Linked DNA regions of Caenorhabditis elegans. The protein of the gene in region 1 interacts with the protein of each later gene in a pairwise test. Each region holds a gene or a part of one and is shown in the gene's direction. Other genes may lie near its edges.

Region 1 (3,414 bases):
ATCTGAAAATAATTTTTTGAATTTTTATTAGCCATAATGAAACTCTTACCGTTGCTCGTAACTTCCCATTTGTTTGTTCAAAATGAAGAATTTCAATTCAGCATAACAGTCATCTTGTTTCTTTCTTCGAATCTTTTCACGTTCAGTCTTCACTTTTCTTCTTTCGGATTCAGTATCAAACTTCCGTCTTGTAGATTCGGAGAGGTCATTCGATGAGAAATTAGATTCCAGATTAACTCCAGTCACAAGTTTCACAATTCGGAAGAGAACTACTTCTTGTCTAAAAAATGAATTAGTTTAATAACTATTTTAAGCTAACAGAGTATTTAAACTTACGATATATGTTCTTCTTCTGATTTTTGAACAATCGTCTTGCATTCGTTAATCAACTCGTTTGTAATATTTCTTCTTTTCCGTTCAGAAGCTGATTTTGGAGTTTGATTGTATGGGACGGAACGATAATCGCTCATTGAAGACTGAATAACTTTTGGCATCTGAAATTTAATAATTTTCATTAATTTAAAATCAATAAGAAATGTAGAATTTATAAAAATTCAAGATGAGCCGTTAAAAAGGAATAATTGTGACAAAACAGATAAATGGGACCAAGAAAGCAGCACAAATTGATTTAGTTTAGTGAGATAACTCGTACTGTTTTTCTAGAAGTATACAGTTCACTGAATGCTTTAAAAGTAATTGATCAAAATCAGTACACTTTCCTGATGTTACAATTATCAAAAAGTATACTAAACCAGCAGACCAGTGATCCACTAAGAAAGTAAATGAACAATGAATAAATGGTTACCTTTTATAGTTCCATTATTGTTCAGAGGGTGGAGCTTTGTATCAAGCGTTTGGAGCCATGGGAATTATTCTGAAATCTCTATTTTTACAGTCCCCATCACGGGTTCCCATGGTTCATCAGTGAGGTTCTCATGAGAACGAGTCAGGACATCTCCAGTTTTGCCACGACTGGATATTGATTGGGTACAGCCTGGGAAATTTCGGCGGAGACTGTGAATTGACATTAACCATTTTTATCACTCATTTAATCAGCTTGCCTAATCATTATTTGTCTTTAATTCGCAAAGTTTCCAATATTCAAGATCTGATTCTAATAAAAATTACCAGATTGATGTATATGATAATGCATAGAACATACAACTACCAAATTTTACGGATTCATTCAGTTTATCACTCAAATATGGCAGTTTTTCATTTTCTGAAAATAATAAGCCAGTTTAATTTTAACATATAACCTTACTGATTTTGAGAACTCCGGTTTGCTGGAAATGCTCACACAGCAACAGAAAAAATTCACACCGGATACATGTAGGTGCCAAGTTATAAGAAAAGTGTCACACGCTGAGATGGAAACCTCGTAAATTAAAAATAAATTGAGATTTTTTTAAACTTGGATATTGTTTTTTAAAACATTTCTAGAACAGCTTGATATAAATATTTTAAACTATCATGTAAAGGAAAAATACTATAACCTAATTCATGTATTTGATTATTTGAGTTAATTAATATGCATTTTTATTTTAAATATTCTAAATTCTTCTTTTGTATTATATATTTACATTTTTAAATTCCATCGAGCTCCGATTTTACCAAATATTCATTTCAGGATTATTTTTTCCCACCAATCAATAACTTCGTTCAGGTTGTGACCCTTCGCATTGCTTGGGTTCTCAGGCTGCCACGGCAAGAACTGGAGATGTGGTACTCGATGCACCATGAGAACCACGCGTAATAAAGGTATGGATATCAGATTCCCATGATATTCCAAACGATGAGAATCCCCGCCTATTGAAGAAAAAACTCGAACATATAATGGAAGGTAGTCATTATGTTTTTGCATACTTGAACTGTAAGGTTGGTTCTTTTCAACGTTTTCATAAGTCTTTAATTTGAACTGCCTTTCATATTTTGTAGTCTCCCTATTACGGTTTTTGTCTAATAATCTTTTGTTAACTATTATTATTATATTTCAGATCCTTGACTCATAATGTCTTCCTCTCCAACTTCGTCATCATCTGGGTCCCCTTCTTCACATGGACATCGATCTGAAACAGAAAAACAAAGAAGAGATGATACTAATGATCTGTTGAATGAATTCAAGAAAATCGTTCAAAAATCGGAATCTGAAAAACTTTCGTAAGTTTTCTACTATTTTATTTAAAAAAAAAAAACGTACTCTCAACTAATGTCTATTCAGAAAAGAAGAGGTTCTATTTCGTATTGTGAAATTGTTATCTGGTATTCAACTTCATCACGAATCGTTTTCAACATCGCCTGGACCAATTAGAAGTATTAAAAAGATTAAAAGCGATCGGGAACAAGTTCGCCGAAATAAGAGAGTTGCCGCGTACAGAGAGCTCAGAAAATTTATTGCATTGAATAATTTGAGTAGCTCAGAAGAAATGTAGGTTTTAGATTTTATTGGCCATAAATTAAAAAACACGTATTTTTCAGAGACAAAATGGAGAATTTGAAGGTTCTAGAAATCATCTTTGAAGTGATTCGTGGAAAGTCGATCACATGTACAGTACCTTGCCTACCATTTCCAATACTTCCTTTTCTCCCAGTATTCCCAGTTTATTCGCCATTAGTTTTCAATTCATACAATCAATTTTCACTTTATCCTCCTCACATGCCTACAGTTCAGATTCCTATTGTCCCAAGTTCCAGCTTCGAAATTGACGCTCTGGAAATAGAAGAAAATGAGAAAGATATCGATATTGTTGGCTGAAGAGATTCAGCTGAAAATCGTATTGGTCTCCAATTTTTTTCAACAGTTTTCAACATTATTTAGACATCTTTTGCATCCCGATTCATTGAAAATTAATAAATTTAAAAAAGTAACATCAAGATAATAAATTCAAGTTTAACACACAGCAATATTGAGATTTTCAGCACAGTGTGCATGATAATTTGAACAGATGCGTAGCAATTGGAGAAAAATTATAGAACTGAATTGCGTTCTTACCAGGACTGTGCGGCAACCGAGATTTAAAGAAATTTCGGCAACCGGCAATTGCCAAAGTTGCCGAACGCTGAAAACTTCGGCAGCCAGCAACTTCCGGTTGCCGGAACTTCGGAAACTTTTCGGCAACCAGGTTTCAAAGTTTTTTTTGTCGAAATTAAATTTTTGAGCGTTTTGGAAAAATGTATGGTCGTTTTTTTCGTTTACAGTGAAATTCTAGCTTTTTCAGGCTCTCTGCATGTTTTTTTTTGAGTTACAAAATGTTTGACGTTGATATGGACAGTTGCCAAAGTGCCGAAAAAAGTTCGGCAACCGGCAACTTGGTTTACGAACCCTGAAAAATAAAGAAACTGTGAAAGAAAATTCAAAAAATGTCAGCACAACTATTAAAAATAAACACTTGGAACACGTGTTCAATTTCTTTG
Region 2 (5,155 bases), on another chromosome or scaffold:
ACACCTTCTACAGTGTTGCACATTGGCTTGAGAACGTTGTGAGTCGTCGTATTAAATCCATTTTGTGATGTTTTACATAACAAAACCTCTAAGAGAATAATGGGAAATAATGTGGAAAATATCAATTCCATTTTCTCATTCTCATCCTCATCTTTCATTTCATTTCTGCTCATTTTCAGCTCATTTCTATGAACGCCACTACTATCAGCCATTACGTGTGTGCATGTTTTTCCTCGACCATATTATTCTGTACAAATACGTCGTCGCCTTATTTTACTATTACCGGTTTTAATGAGATTGTGTTGAATTATTTTCTCCCCCCTCCCTATTTGAAACCAAACGAGCGCGCACACAAACACATGAGAGCGGGCGGGTAAGCGTCTTGGGTCCCAATTACCGTATATCATGGAAGTGGGTGGAGCTGTGGACGTTCATTCAATACGGCTGTGCTCACCTCAACTCGTTTTATTTTGCGTTTGATCAAAACTAAAACTTGATTTTTTTTTCAAATGTTCGTCATTGGACTCTCAAGGGTTAATCAGGAAAAAAAACACATTTCGTGATTACTTGTTTGCTTCGAACTTTTTTTCAAGCTTCATAAGACTTCATGTGATAGTTTCCGATTCACTTCCATCGACTCTTGATTCATCTCTTTTCCCTCAGTTTTGCATGGGTTCTCTAAGGTATCAGAAATCTCGTCTAAAATTTTCATTTGTAAATTAAACCCCCATTCTGAAAATTAACAGTAATACGAGTGTTCTTTTTTCAGCCAAAAATGATTTTTTTGGAAAGTATGGAAAAAAGTAGTTTAAAAGATGTCATCACAATATTGGCAGTACTCTTTTCAACTTCCTGTACATCAAAATATCAAACCATTTACCGTATTTTCCCTATTAGGATTTCAACCCAGTTTCCATCTTTACCAGCTTAACACGAACAAAGTACTTGTCAATTTTTTTTAGCGGTTTGTAGTTTCTTATCTTTGATACTGAACACAGATATAACGTTTCAAATAGTGTGGTACAGTACTATTCAAGGAGTTACGGTATTCGAACACATTTCAAGTGAACAATGATCCTGAGTGTTTTGCTCATCGAGCCTATATTAGATATCTCTCCTGTTTCCATCATTCCTCATTATTACCTTTTGCACTCCGAATTCGACACTAACCGCGGATAAGCTGCTGCTTGACCCGTGCGTTCGCATAGCAACAACGATCCACTAACATCTCGAATTTCATATTTAAATTAATAATGTTTTGCTTAAAGCATAACTGATTAGCTTTTTGGCATTCTCGTTGGAATATACATTGAACCTACATTACAAAATCAATTGATCATCAATTTTGAAACAATTGATAGAGTCGCTCAGCGGAAAAAAAACGGTTAATTGTTGTGATTAATGGTGTTAACCAAACATAGTAATCCACTTAAACGAATTAGACATTAAGTTGGACAGGGCGTATTGCCTAGAAACATCTCTGTTTTGCTTGATCACTTAACACATTAGCGGAAAAGCAAGCAGGGAGTTCTTCGAGATCCTCAGATTCTGCTAAACTTCTCTCAACTGTATTCATAGTCGTTTTCCTATTGGTCAACCATTGTTTATATAGTTTTGATATCCGTTTTCTTAACACTACCAAAGACAATAATTTGACTTGGTCATCATTTCATTATTACTCCTCTCCTTCCCATTTCCTACACCCCATTTATCCGCGAACGCTCGCCCAGCTACCGTAGTCTTGAATGGTGGGGCGGGGCTACTCATTAGTATTCTCGATTAGCCCTCAGTTGACTCTATTTTTCTCAAACATGCCGACTTCAGTTATGAATCTCCCTATTGATATGACGACAATGAGCTCGCAAGAACGTCTCGAAAAAATGTCACAACTTCCAAAGATTGAACTGATGGAGGAAGAAGAGGAAGAAGAGATGAAGCCAAGTTCAGATAATAAGATTAAATTCAATATTTCTGAGTTGCTGGAAGATGACAGAAAACCGTAAGTTGAACATTTTCATTTATTTTCCTTTTATTTGTATAAAATTAAACTTTCAGAACTACACAAAGTTCCCCGTCGGCATCTTCAGAGGATAGCACCAATGAAATTGAGCAAACGGCGTTTAATTTCAATTTTGATCCAAAAATGAATCCGATTTCTGCCCTCCTGCAACTTCAGCAAACTTTCTTGAACGTCGGCAATCAACAAAACATGATCTCACCACTTACCATGTTCCCATTCTTTGGACTTCCGACTGCTCAACTAATGCACTTCAAAAACATGAGCAACCCAGGTCAGTAGATATTACCCAACTTCCTCTCTCCTTAGTCTGTCATTAGTTAATGTGTGAAAGAATCCTACCATATTTCATTTCATTCAAAACAGTGTTCCGTTTACCACTATAATTTTCGGTCGGTTCTCTTTATTCTCCGAATCTCAGAACACCCCTTAATACAGTAACTAATTCATTTTCTGACCCATTGTTATTGTATGGTCTCGAATTAGCCAAGTCTGGACTCATTAACAAGTTGAACAACGGTATTGGATGAACATATGGAAAAAGGAGGGGGGAGGTTGTCGGCGGATGCAGTTCCTTTCTTAGGATAAGAATCAGAATCGCTCGCCTGTGTTGAACTCAACTAATTATCTTTTGTTGGGTAACACCACACGCGGTATTCATTGATTCTTGAAAGGATGTGCTCAAACAGCAATAAGTTAATAACGTGAGAATACTAAACCCCATGAGCTCGGTGACGCGTGTCAGGTCCTTGACTTTTATTTTGATTCTAAAAATAAATACATTCAATTAAAAATTATAGAGAAACAACTTTTTTTTTCAGATTCAAAGTTTTTAATAATGAAATGTGGCCTGTAGGGAATTACCAAATGTCATACTAAAACATTTCAAAAATGTTTTAAATAAAATTTATTTTTAGTCAAAGAACATTGAAAACTCATAGTCCGCTTTTACCTAATTTTTGGCTCAAAATTTTTTTAAAAACAGTTTTATTTTGATATTAAGCCATTTTAACATTACAAAAATGCTGATTAATTATTTCCCCTCACAGGTCCAACTTTAAGCCATTAAGTTTTCCGCTCAGTTGATTTGGCAAAGCAAATCAGCGTATTGTAAAATAACATCATCACGCTGTTTTATTACGCTGACTCTGTTGATACATGTGGTTTTGCCACTGATTTGTTTTTGATAACATGTGAAATGATCAAAACAGCAATAGAAATCTCTTATTCTAATGAGCCTTTTCCATTTCGCATGAAAAATCAGGCATACGCATGAGCGCACATTTTTAGTCGTCAATATTCGTAACGTAAGCGGCTACACTTCGGTTTTTAAGAGATTCTAATTAGTCAACGAAGAATCAGTATTGAAAACTAAAGGTAGTTCTTAATATAGAGACATCTATTTATAAAGGTGTCATTTTGACCGACACCCGTGTCCTAGTAATCCCCCGTCCATTGAGATAATTAACCGATGGACCACGGGGGGATGTGTTATAATTGTGGCCTGTCAATGGAAGTATCTTAATGCAATATGGTTAATATGCCTGTCAGGAATTAAGTAATTGTTGAAAATGTGTTTCCTTACAGATGTTAATATTCAATCAGACAATGGAGAAGAGAAGGATGAAAAATCGGAGGGAAAAGATGGGGAGACCAGGGATTCCACTGGTGGCAGCCCGCTGGAGTCTGACGCAGAAGATGACGATGATAGTGAGTTGAATTTAAAAATGTGTCCACAAAAGTGTCCATAAACTGTATTTCAGTTGGCCGTGGAAGCGATGATGAAGCCAACTCTAGCGATCCATCACAAAATAGAAAGAAGAAAACCAGAACCGTCTTCAGCAGGAGTCAGGTATCAGAAATTGTACATTCCGAACTCAAATAATACTTTCATTCAGGTGTCCCAATTGGAAATGATGTTCGAATGCAAAAGATATTTGAGCAGTCAAGAGAGATCAAATTTAGCACAGAAGCTGCACTTGACGGAGACCCAAGTGAAAATTTGGTTCCAAAATCGACGAAACAAGTTCAAGAGACAAGCTCAGACTGATGACACGAACATTTCCCTGCAGATGCATAGAGCTAATGTGTTTTCGATTCCAGCAACCACAGCTCTTACATCTCCGTGAGTTTACTGTTTCATGAAATTAATTCTAAATTTTATATTTCAGAATCCTTACGATCCCAACGACCAGTGCTGGTGTGAACATGAGAAATATGATTTCATCTCCAATGGATGCTTCTGCAACTGCCGCCGCGCGGTTTCTTTTCGGTTTTGGTACACTTCAGGCACAGCAAAACTTGAATGCGTCGGCTCAAGCGCAGAACATGTGAACACCTTATTACTAATTTAGACTCACCCCCTGTGCAATTCAACTCAACCTCAACACATTTTTCATCTCATCACTGACTCTATCTCTTCACACTTGATTTTTGATTCATCGCCCTTCGTATATATTTTATTTTTCATACCCTATATGTTTATTATGTGTCATTCTGTGTATTTTATAAACTATCTTCGAGCACATGATAATTCAGTTCATCAATCCTTTCTCTTTCACTAAATAATTATTTATTGAGTAATAAATTTACATTATGAATACATACAATACAAAAATGATAGAAACTTTTTGATGTGTAAAAGACCATTTTCCAACAGATTATGATGGTAGCAAAGCTACTCTTTTCACATACATACATATACTAATATTTAAGATGAAATTTCAAAACAAATGTTCAAATTCCATCAACTGCAGAAATATCAGAAAACTTTTATTCTGCTTGAAGAACGAAAACTTACAAAATTTCCAAAAATTTGAATTGTATTACTTGGATATAAAATAATAGTTTGTCTCCTTTGTATGTAGTATCTGTTTTTTTAAAGAGTTTTTGTTGTGTTTTGAAAGGTTAATGGTTAAAATTAGTAGAATGAATTAGGGTAGTGTAGTGTAGGTGTTCAGTAGGCAACTTTGAAAAAAGTAAGTTGTTATGCTTTGAAATAATATTGGAGAGTCAAAAGTATTAGAAATCTCTGTCTTAAACAGTACAAAAACGCTCGAGAAATTTTTGAAGAACTGTTTTGAAGAACTCCAAAAAAAATTTCTAGAAATTTCAAAAATTACGAAAAAAATTCCTTCG
Region 3 (4,953 bases), on another chromosome or scaffold:
GCAGGGGACAAAAAGAGAGCAAAAAGAAATCCCCAGAAAATTCAATAATTCTGAAAAAAACCTGACCTTTTCGACCGGTTTTTGGGCTTTTGGACTTAGAAGGCCTACACAAGATTTTTCTAATGCTCAAGTGTATGAAAATCGAACTAGCGTTTTTGATGCCTCGGTGCTTATCACCTTAGAATTCCTATGCCCGTGGGCTTTGTTTTTTTTTTGAATTTCTCAAGTTTGGAACTGAATGAAGCAATGCTTTTGCACCCCCGTTTCCCTTGCTTACTCGGTTCCCTGGTTCCTTGCACGATCCCAGACCACTTTTGGCTCCCCGGTTCCCAGGCCCCCCTTAGCCCCGCTGGTCCCGTACTCCTTCCGCTCCCTGCTTGTTCTCCGCGTCTCTGCCGCTGCCGCTGCCGCGTCGTCGTCATTTTCCAGGCAAAAACATATGAAAAGAGCCATGGGTGGCTCCAGGTGGTGACCCAGCACCGTGTATTTGTGTGTGTATTTCTCGATGCTTGCAGCAGCAGCAGCAGCAGGAAAAAAGAGTGAAATAGTGTGGGGGAGGTGTGGCAGCATGTGAATCATGGATAGATGGGGGGGGGGGGGGGAGGTTTTGTAAAGAAGACAGAAGAAAAAAGTAGAGAACATACAAATACAGAAAGATATGAAAAAAGTTTTTTAGTATGGTACTTTATATTTGGTAAAAATTCGAATAAATATTGGTCCTTCTTCAAGGATCCTTTGGCCAAACTTGGGGTCTAAGCTTAGGCTGAGGTTTGAGCTCAGGCTTGAGCTTAGGCTGAAGCTTAGGCTTGGGCTTACTTATTGAAACCCTATGAGATAAAATCCGGGTCCTAGGCCCAAATTAAGCCTATTCTGCCAGACGAAAGACCCATGGTTCTTAAGTTCCCATTGAGACCAGATCGGCCAATATTCAAGGGCCTCTTTTTGAAACTCTTTGAGATAAAATAAGGGTCCTAGATCAGGATTAGCGTGGCTAAAAATAAAGTACTTAGAGCCCTGTTTGTAAGCCTTCCAGCCTAAGTATGACCTGCAAGATTAGGGCTTTCATAGACCAAATCAAACTTTCAGACCGAAATTCAAGTCCCTATGCCTTTTTTGATACTCTTTATGATAAAATTTTGGTCCTAGATCAGAATTAGGGTTTCTAGGCTTTTTTTGCCAGACTAAACAGGTAGGAAACGTAACTCAACACTTGGACCATTTAGGTTATTTTTGGGGTATTGTGGCCCTTTTTGCTTCATAACTCCTTTTTGGGCCAAAACTAGAGTCTCTAGAACCCTGTTTGTAACCCTTTCGGGAAAAGTTATGGCCTGGCCAAGACTGGCCAATATCAATGCCTTTACAGCCCAAATCAAACGTTCAGACCAAAATTCCAGTCCCTAGACCGATCACCTTTTAGTCCGTAATTTGGCTCCCTACCTATAAAAAGTATAAACATGCCAAAATTAGGTTGCAAAAAAGACCCAGTCTATGATTTTTGGCATTTTAGACTCCGTTAGGCTGAAATATAGCTCAGGATCCTAACACTTAGACCTTTTTGACCTAAATATAGATTTCTCAATTCAGAATTTCAGTTTTTAGACCTCCTAGACCTATTTGAGAGAATTCTCAAAAATTGTGCGATTTCCCATACCCTTATCAATTTTGTGTTGTTTGGTGGTTTGTTGCTCCTTCCTTCTTCTTCTTCTTCTTTTTTGAATGTCATTTTTTCAACCACTGGTCATTCTTTTTCCCACACTCTGCGTCTCTAAGTGGCCAGCGGGGGGGCGCCCCGACGTGCCAGTCGACACCAGGAGGGGCGCGCGGAACGAGCCGATAGAGCGTGCGAGACGAAGAGACGCAGGCATTTTTCCGCAGTGCTCGTCGCGTCGCATCATGCCGCTTCCGCACTCCGCCGCGCGCGAGGACTCTTCGAGAAAAAGACGAAAAAACGTGAGTGAGTTTGGCCTATCTGGAGCTCTCTAGAAATTTCTGGGACCTGTCTAGGCTTGGACCCATCTAGGGTTGGGTTTGGGCCCTTTTTTATCAGTTTTCAAGTGCAACATTGAATTTCAAACGACACTCCGTTATCCCTCTAGTGCTTGATGTTTAGCCAATTTAACTTGAAGTTTTTTTTTAAAGAAAAAGTTCCAAATTTCGGGCCAACTCCCTCTAATCACAGATTAAATTATGAATTTAAAATTTATCAGCTTTGCACCACCGACCACCAAAACAAAATCGATTTCACCACTAGAAGCCTTCAAGTTTTGAAATTTACTAGTTTCTAACGACACTCCGCTATCCCCTAGCGCGCTCTGTTTATCCAATAATTTTTGGTGGGAATTTGAAATTTTACATGACTTTTTTGTGCATTATTACCAGCTTTTTTGCACAAAAAAAAAAGAGAACTTGCAATTTTTCAAACTTTCAAACGACGCTCCGCTATCCCACCAATCGCGCCCTGTTTATCCAGTAAGTTGTCTATTGGTAATAAATGTTTTATTCATTATTCTATACATTTGTAGTTGATATGTAACTAATATCGCTAAAATAAACCAAAATAAAAACATGGTGCATCGATAAGTTTTGCAAACTTAACTTTACCAGCTCTATATCTAAATTGTCTCTGGGTTTATAAAATAATTATCAACTGACAAAATATTGCTCACCTCTTTTTCTACATTAACCCGTGGAAAAAATTACAAATAGCATAAAAAGCCGAGATATTGGCTTGCCTAACATAGTTTGCCCAAAAAAAAACTCGACAAAAGTGACCAGTTTTCTCTGAAACAATGACCTGGTCATTTGAACTGGTTTCTCACCATCCCGTCACTCTTTCAATTGTCTACTTCTGTGTTTGGTTTTTTTTTGGGAGGTTGTTTTCATTTGTTGTTATATGGGAGAGAGAGAGTGAGGCTATTGTTTTATCTTGGGACTCCTCCTCTCGGAACTTTTTAATAATTGTTTCATTCTTCATAATTCCTTACATATTTTGGCTGGTTTTGGTTTTATCGGAATTTTTTTTTTTAAATTAACACTTCTTAGATAGAGTCTGTCGAAGAAAAGTTCTGAACATGGTGCATCGAGGCCATATTTCGGTTACGTTTAGTTAAGCTGTTTTTCATAATTTTTTCTACATTGATTTCATATGACTCAACTTTGAAGTGTAGGGCTCCTATGTAGGCGATAAAACGCCTACCTGCCTGGCCTTCAGGCGATCTCCGCCTGCCTCAATACTTATGCTAAATCATACGTGTTTTTTTTTTCTTTTTTTTTTAATTTGAAAATCATCAGTGTAAATACACCTAAAATGCATAAAAGGGGAAAAAGCAGGCAGGTTTCAGGCAGGCTTCAGGCCCCGCGCCTGCCTAAAATCTAGTCCATGCACCATGATCTGAAATCACTATCAACCCAGTTTTCAAAGGTCCTATCCACATTTTCCACCAATCCCGTTAATCCGTACTACATGTAGGTCAAACACATGGTTTTTGAAATCCAACTAGATATAGCCATAAATGTTTGTATGTGGTCAAAGTTTCTCTCTCATTTTTCCAACAAAAAAAGAACGCACACACACACATATGTTTGTATGTGGTGTCTACCTATTATTATCTATGGTTGGACGGGCATCATCATGTCACCGGCAGGCACCCATAGCTCCGTGCCAGGCCGCTTGCCGCCGCGCCGGCAGGCATGCGGTCACGCGGAATGGGTTACGAGGGGGTAACCTGATACCACGAGTTGGGGTGACCAGGGTATGTGATAAGGTAAAAGGTTACGTATTTGAGTATTTGAAAATAAAAGGTTAGTGATTTTGAATGGGAAATAGGAAACTTTGTGAAATTTAAAAAAACATGGTGCATCGACTGAAAATCCTTCGTCAGCTTTTTGACGTCTTGTATTTCAGTTGTGTTTGGTGTTATCAAAACATTGTCTAGTGACAAAATGTTTATTATAACCTTTTCTATAATAATGTAGTTTAACAATTTTTGATATCTCTTTAAAAAACCAAGATATGATCATTCAAAGTAAAATGCCAAGCACAACTTCATTGGTTCAAATCTTGGTTGTTTTTGGTTCAAAAATTGGCAACAGACAAAACATTTCTTATATCTTTCTCTATAGTTCTATTTTTAAACATTTTTTGATATCAGTAAAAGTAATCGAGATATAAGCTGTCAAAGTTAATCGGCAAAACATGGTGCATCAACTGTTACAGTGATCGTACCCCTATCGTAATTTTTCTGTAATTCTACAGTAGCCCTACAGTAATACTACAGTAGCCCTACCGTAATTTTTTTGTATTTCTACAGTAGCCCTACATTAATACTACAGTAATCCTACAATACCCCTCTAAAACCTCAAAGTTTTCATGTAGTAACTGAACCCCTCCAGGTGCAAAAATTGCTGCCAGGTGCAAAATTTCACGAGGTGTTCGGAAAAGTTTAGACTCCTTAAATGCTAAAAATCTTTTTGGACCCTTGGATTCTTTCACCTCTCCTCATACTAATATCCTACTCTTTCAAGACTACTAGTCCCTAGTCACCAAAACATAAATGACGAATTCCTACGTGCGTTCTTTTGCTCCTTTTGCTCCGCGCGGAGCCCACCGAACGCCGGAGCCAAAACAATTATTATATGCCGTGTGTGTGTGTTGTGTGTGTTCCGCGCGGATAAGAAGAAGACGCAGTTGAGAAGAAGCGTGCCAGTCGCCGTGTTTGTTTTGGCGCAGCGTCGTCGACGGGGTGGTCTTGAAGAGCGGCGAGGAGGCGCCTGGTACCAGTAGTCGGGGTGGGGTGGGTGAGGGCTAGGGCATCAGAGAAACCAGACGTTTTTTTTGTTCGCATGCTTCTTCTCCGCTGTGTGTTGTTGTGCTGCTGCCACCTCGAACGTCGGAACATCATGGCACTGCCTACCGCGTCGGCCGCCGCCCGGGAAAAAGAGAAACACACAACA
Region 4 (5,758 bases), on another chromosome or scaffold:
TTTTCGGATTTTCAGCCAACTTCTAAGATTTTTACTGAAAAATATCAATTTTCTGGGAAATCGCTGAGTTTTCAGCTTTTTTAACCACAAAATTTGAATTTTTCACTAGTTTTCAGTCGAAAATTTGTGTTTTAAACAGAAAGTTCAAGTTTAAAAATTTATTTTTCGGATTTTCAGTCAACTTCCAAGATTTTTACCGAAAGATACAGAATTTAATCCATTTTTTAAGTTTTTTCAGCGCAAAATTGCAATTTTGCTCTGATTCTTGCTGCAAAATCGGATTTTTTATCGATTTTTCTTCATTTTTTTCTGGTTTTTTTGTGTTTTCCAGGACCACACATAAAAATGCAGTTTAAAATCGATTTTCTCGAATTTCTAGTGAATTTTTCGCAATTTCCAGGCAAAAAACTACGAACATTGATGAAATTGAGAATTGTATCGATTAATCCCGGCTTATTCCACGCCAGACGCTTCGAACTGCCCAGATAATTGATAAAACAGGGGAAGAGATCGGCATGATTCCGGCAAAGGCTCGGATATCGATCGAGAAGCACCGAAAGTGTGCTCAGTGCGAGGTGGCGGACTCTGAAAATTCAAAATTTCCCATTTTTCAGAAAAAATCCACTCACTCTGTGACGATATTCGTTAGAGCGCGGAGCACGTGGGACAGGAAAAGTGTGATATGAGCCGACATTGCTTGAATTGAAGCTGTACACAGAATTTTGTAGAGATTCAGTAGATTCTGACGTGTGGAGGGCTCGAAAGAAGCGTCAGCCACGTGCACAGCCACGCAGGGAACCAAAAGCCTCAACTGGACGTTGACAAGATCCGGGCGAGACGTTAAAATCTGTTTTAGTCCTTGAATAGCGTTCATTTTCACTTTCTGAACGAGAATTTATTAATTTTGATCGATATTCAGCGAAAAATTACCGCATTAAAGTGCCCCATCTGCTTGCAGAGCTCATCGAGCGTTAGACCACGGAAACTAAGTGGATTATCATCTGTTTCCACTTTTTCCTCCAACTGAGTCGCCAATACTACTCGTTTTGCTGAAAAAATGAATTAAAATTCGCGAAAATCGGGTGAAAACTCACCTTTGATAGTCGTGTCGGTGGTCGTCGTTTTTTTCAGCTTTTTTCCCACCTTCAGCTTGACTTTTTTGAAATCTTCGTTTTTCCGTGCCTTCTTTTTGGTCACCATCTGCAAAAAATGTTAATTTTCGCGTGTTTCTTGAGAGAATAACAAGAAAAATGCGAAAATGGCAAAGGAAAAAAAAAGAGAGGAGAGACCACGCCTCGGTGAAGTGCAAGTTTCATAGATATTGATTCGAGAGAAAATTATTCCCATAAATAGAAACATCACGCCCAATTTTTAATATTTTCTTTTATTCAGAGTTAAAATAAATTGAAAACCAAATTGTTAAAATTTTTCCCACTATGCTCAAATCAGATCCTTACAATAATTTATAATTATCCTGCGTTCCCGTTTCTGCACACTCATTTATCTCATAATACAGCAACGTCTCCAAAGCAAAAGCGCTCTACTGCGCATAGGAAAAAGGCGCGAATCGAGTGATTTGAATAATTTCGCGGTGTTTTACCGCATTTTATCTTCTTTTTTCTCATTTTTAAACGACGTTTTACTCTTATAAATATTTTTCACGTATTATAGTTTCATATATCTTTCACACATTCGTCCTCCTAAAAAATTTAGTGATTCTGAAGGCTCGTAATTTATATGGCATGAATGTTCTGAAATATTCCTAATTTTTTGAACTTTCAGATTTTTATTTTTGAACATAAAATGGCTCACACTTTTGCGTGCCCACGTGGAGATTGTGGACTTTTTTCGCTTTCCAAACTGTAAGTCAAACATTGTATTGCATAATCACCGGTTTTTGTTTCAGGGACGATCATCTCACTGCGGATCATCATCTGGAACACATGTGTTCAGAGTGCGAAGAGAGCTTTGGCTCTGCAGAAGAGGCCAAAGAGCATACTCTTTTAGCTCACGAAAATGCTCAAACATTCGATGATCCAAAAATTAGAAATACTAGGTATTGTTGTTATCTCAGAGCTAAAATAAATATAATATTTCAGAATTGTAGATTCCATAATTGCAGCAGTGAGAGTATCCGGTGATGTGATTGAAGAATTCAATTCAGTGATCATGCGAGCGGTTATTCGTCATTGGGGAAACACGAGCACGGAAAAGCTGGTAAGGAGCAGATGATAATTTTATTTTATCTGAGAATGCGTTTTGCGCAAAATATCTTGTATCGAAAACTACAGTAACTTTTTCAAAGACTACTGTATCACTAGCGGCGACTTACGGAAATCATTCGATAAAAATTAAAAGAAATCACAAAAATGACAACAACTTGAATTTCGCTGTCACAATTTGATCAGAAAATTACAAATAGCAAGCCAATACATCGACGCCAGTTCTACAGTAGGCAGTTCAGGTTTTTTATACAGTTAAGTATTATATTAAAAGTAAAATATTAAAACTGTCACCTTAAATTTGAATCCAGCCAAGCCCGCGAAAAACTCCGCTCGATTTCGGATGCCGAAAATTGGCTCGAATCGAGAGATATTCGGGAGATGCTGGAATCAAATAAGACCTACTTTCTTTTAGATTTCCGCCGATCACCACAAAAATGAAAAGAGTGGGTAATATATCGCGGCCGACAACCCACGGGTTCCGCGCCTCGCTATAAATTAAGTAAATTAAGCCACGCCCTTCAAAAGCACACCAACTGATAGGGTGTGGCTTAATTGACTTAATTTAGAGCGAGGCGCGGAACCCGTGGGTTGTCGGCCGCCATGTATTACCCACTCTTTTCATTTTTGTGGTGATCGGCGGAAATCTAAAAGAAAGTAGGTCTTATTTGATTCCAGCATCTCCCGAATATCTCTCGATTCGAGCCAATTTTTGGCATCCGAAATCGAGAGGGAATTTTTCACGGGCTTGGCTAAATTCAAATTTGATGTGACAGTTTTAAAATTTTGATACTCTTTTTAACGAAAAATTATTCGATTTCAGATTGCTGTCGTTGATTCTCCAATGATTACTCGTGACTTCTATATCGACTGTTTTGAAGCTTTAAAGATGGTAGACTATTCATTTGTATTTAAACAATGAAATAAAATTCGAAATTTGCAGAGATACGATTCTGGAGAGAAGTCCATCGATCTTCTCTGTCGTTTGGCAAAATTGTGTACAAAAATTGGAAATTTTGTTGAGAAGGAAAAGAGAAAGGACATCATAATCAAAGGAAAGATGTACGCTACCGAAGCCTGGAACACCGATTCGTACAACATCTTGGCTGCTCATTGGGCCGCTGTGATGTCAGGAAAGGCAATCGAATATCTTGAAGGCGATGAAAAGAATCTGGAGATGAGACACTGCAGACAATATCTCGATCGTGCCATCTCTATCCAGGCAGGAAAAAATGCAATGTACAATAATATTCTTGGCCGTTGGGCTCTTTCAGCACTGGAGATTTGGGAGTCTGACCGACAACAGTTAATTCATCATTATGCCACCCCATATGACGCTATCGACGATGCCATTTATCAGTTCAGATCCGCTTTCGATCTCATACCGTATTGGATCGATAATATTGTACACCTGGGCAAAGCGCTTCTTTACAATGAAAACAAAGAAGCCGCCATTGGAATGTTTCAGCTCGCACTCAAAATGGACCCGTCGAACGATATCGAGAAAGAGTTGCTCGCCGACGCCCTTGACTTGTGCTCAATTTGATCCTTCTTTTATTTCCATTTTATTTTCTGTGTCTCATTTTTCCGTTTGCACTTTCCTCCGTTTTTTTATTGTAAAAATTCCGTAAAAATCGGCCCAAAATTCCCATTTTCAGGGGATTCTTGGAGCCCAACTTCTTTTTTTAAAAATTTGGATTTTTAAATTTTTCCCCGATTTTCTATAGGAAATTCCAAAACATTTACTGAAAAATAGAAAAAAAAATGGCCAGATTTCTCGAAAAAATTAAAATTTTTGGAATTTTTCTGATTTTTAGCTAATTTTTTGAAAAAACTGGCTCAAAAATTTTTTTTTGGTATTTTTTAAAGAATTTTTATTTTTAGAAAATCCGTGAAAATTGAGGGAAATTGAGCCAGAAATTTGGTATTTTGGAGCCCAAAATCTGTTAATTTTTATTTTTAAATTTCCACGAATTTTAAGCTAATTTTCTGAAGAAGTTGGCTCAAAATTTCGGTTTTTTGGAATTTATTTTTTTCCTGAATTCCTAGAATTTATAGTGTAGTTGATCCGGAAATTCTATTTTTCTCAAATAATTGAAAATTTTTACTTTCAGAAAATCCCTGAAAATTGAGTGAAATTGAGCTCAAAATTCATATTCTTCTCAAAAAATTGATTTTTCTGTTGAAACTTCCTTGAGAAAATTTCTAGAAGAAGCTGGCTCAAAATTTCGAATTTTTGGAAAGTTTTTGGAATTTTCATAATCAAGTTTTTTTCGAAAAAATTGAAATTCCGCCGAGTTTAAGCTAATTTTTAGAATTTTTCTCAGTTAACGGTTCTTTTCTAGTGAAAAATTCCAAAATTTAGAAATTTAAAAATCCCTTTTCCCCTTATAAATTGCCCCAAACATTTCCGCTTCAACCAATTTTTCAACATTTTTATTCTATATTTAACGGCTATACAAAAAAATCGATAATTTCTCAGGTTTTCACCTCTATTTCCTATCTTGTTCACACGCCTCGGTCCCAAAATTTAATAGATTTTCAGGCCAAAAAAACCAATGGGGTTTTTACAAATTCTTCAAGAATGTCGAGCCGAAGGACTATGGCCAATTGGGCCATCTTGTAATAAGGTGCTGTGAAAAATTTGGAAAAAAATTATTATACATTCGTCGAAAAATTTCATCTCAGTTTAAAGGCGCACACATTTTTTGTACTTTGGGTCTCACCACGATTTCGACTTTTTGAAGCTTAAAATCACTAAAAATTACGTGGATCGTGGCAGGACAAAAAAGTGTTATTATACATTCGCCAAAAAATGCCAGCTGATGAAAGGTGCATGTTTTTTGCAAAAATTGCAAAAAATTACCAATCGAAAAAAAAAACTCATATTTTTCCGATGGGTCTCGCCACGATCTGCGTCTTTTGGATCCTAAAAGAACCCAAAATTATGTGAATCGTGGCGGGACCCAGAAGTGTATGCGCCTTTAAAATAGGAGAGTATATTTTTGAGAATGTGTAATAATTTATTTTTTTGCTTTGAAGAAACTTTTTATCATTTTATGATAATAATAATTTTATTATACATACGTCGAAAAAATGTCATGGCAATTACCTTTAGGTCTCGCCACGATCTACGTCTTTTGGATCCTAGAAGCGTCCAAAATCACGCAATTCGTGACGAGACCCAACAGTGTATGCGTCTTTAAAATAAGCTTGCATAATTGTGGGAATGTATAATAATTTATTATTGTATTTTTTCAATTATTTATTACAAAAAAATGTATCAAAAAATTTTATACAAATCAACAAAAAAAACAAAAACAATTTTTTTCGTGTACTCCACACGGACAACAAACTGTAGTTTTACAACTAAAACGCGCCGTAAATCTACACAAAATCTCTCCGACCCAAAATGGCCTAATTCGGCAAACTCTGCCATTTCGATTCATGAGGGAAGCCAGAATTCCGTGTTTTAACCGAAAATTCCAGAGTCTATCAAAAAATTCCAATTTCACCTTTCTACCGTAGTCCAGCGC

What was found.
Region 2: the proteins of hlh-26 (region 1) and mls-2 interact in a two-hybrid assay, tested with the Caenorhabditis elegans proteins (one large-scale study listed by BioGRID).
Region 3: the proteins of hlh-26 (region 1) and znf-782 interact in a two-hybrid assay, tested with the Caenorhabditis elegans proteins (one large-scale study listed by BioGRID).
Region 4: the proteins of hlh-26 (region 1) and sup-35 interact in a two-hybrid assay, tested with the Caenorhabditis elegans proteins (one large-scale study listed by BioGRID).

The regions. Positions count from the first base shown.
Region 1 is NC_003280.10:5,532,320-5,535,733, reverse strand, and holds hlh-26 (Helix-loop-helix protein 26), read left to right. Parts: upstream 1-1,991; 5' UTR 1,992-2,011; coding exon 2,012-2,160; intron 2,161-2,221; coding exon 2,222-2,428; intron 2,429-2,478; coding exon 2,479-2,755; 3' UTR 2,756-2,895; downstream 2,896-3,414. Other genes in the region: hlh-25 (Helix-loop-helix protein 25), read right to left, coding at 1-2, 50-280, 337-494. UniProt on the Caenorhabditis elegans protein: As a homodimer binds DNA via the E-box sequence 5'-CACGTG-3'. Represses lag-2 transcription during embryogenesis via Notch signaling, in an unc-37-dependent manner. Also represses tbx-37 independent of Notch signaling.
Region 2 is NC_003284.9:4,758,269-4,763,423, reverse strand, and holds mls-2 (Homeobox protein mls-2), read left to right. Parts: upstream 1-1,783; 5' UTR 1,784-1,811; coding exon 1,812-1,999; intron 2,000-2,055; coding exon 2,056-2,291; intron 2,292-2,529; exon of another isoform or gene 2,530-2,728; intron 2,729-3,604; coding exon 3,605-3,727; intron 3,728-3,780; coding exon 3,781-3,869; intron 3,870-3,915; coding exon 3,916-4,142; intron 4,143-4,188; coding exon 4,189-4,351; 3' UTR 4,352-4,620; downstream 4,621-5,155. UniProt on the Caenorhabditis elegans protein: Transcription factor that binds to the promoter of target genes. Regulates fate specification and/or differentiation of multiple cell types arising from the embryonic mesodermal (M) lineage and the ABp(l/r)paa precursors.
Region 3 is NC_003282.8:1,064,479-1,069,431, reverse strand, and holds the start of znf-782 (C2H2-type domain-containing protein), read left to right. Parts: upstream 1-1,906; 5' UTR 1,907-1,950; intron 1,951-4,953.
Region 4 is NC_003281.10:11,115,245-11,121,002, reverse strand, and holds sup-35 (Regulator of microtubule dynamics protein 1), read left to right. Parts: upstream 1-1,776; 5' UTR 1,777-1,803; coding exon 1,804-1,862; intron 1,863-1,906; coding exon 1,907-2,056; intron 2,057-2,099; coding exon 2,100-2,217; intron 2,218-2,518; exon of another isoform or gene 2,519-2,642; intron 2,643-3,045; coding exon 3,046-3,114; intron 3,115-3,165; coding exon 3,166-3,768; 3' UTR 3,769-4,780; coding exon of another isoform or gene 4,781-4,852; 3' UTR 4,853-5,249; downstream 5,250-5,758. Other genes in the region: Y48A6C.4 (Pre-rRNA-processing protein Ipi1 N-terminal domain-containing protein), read right to left, coding at 417-585, 630-883, 931-1,049, 1,095-1,200.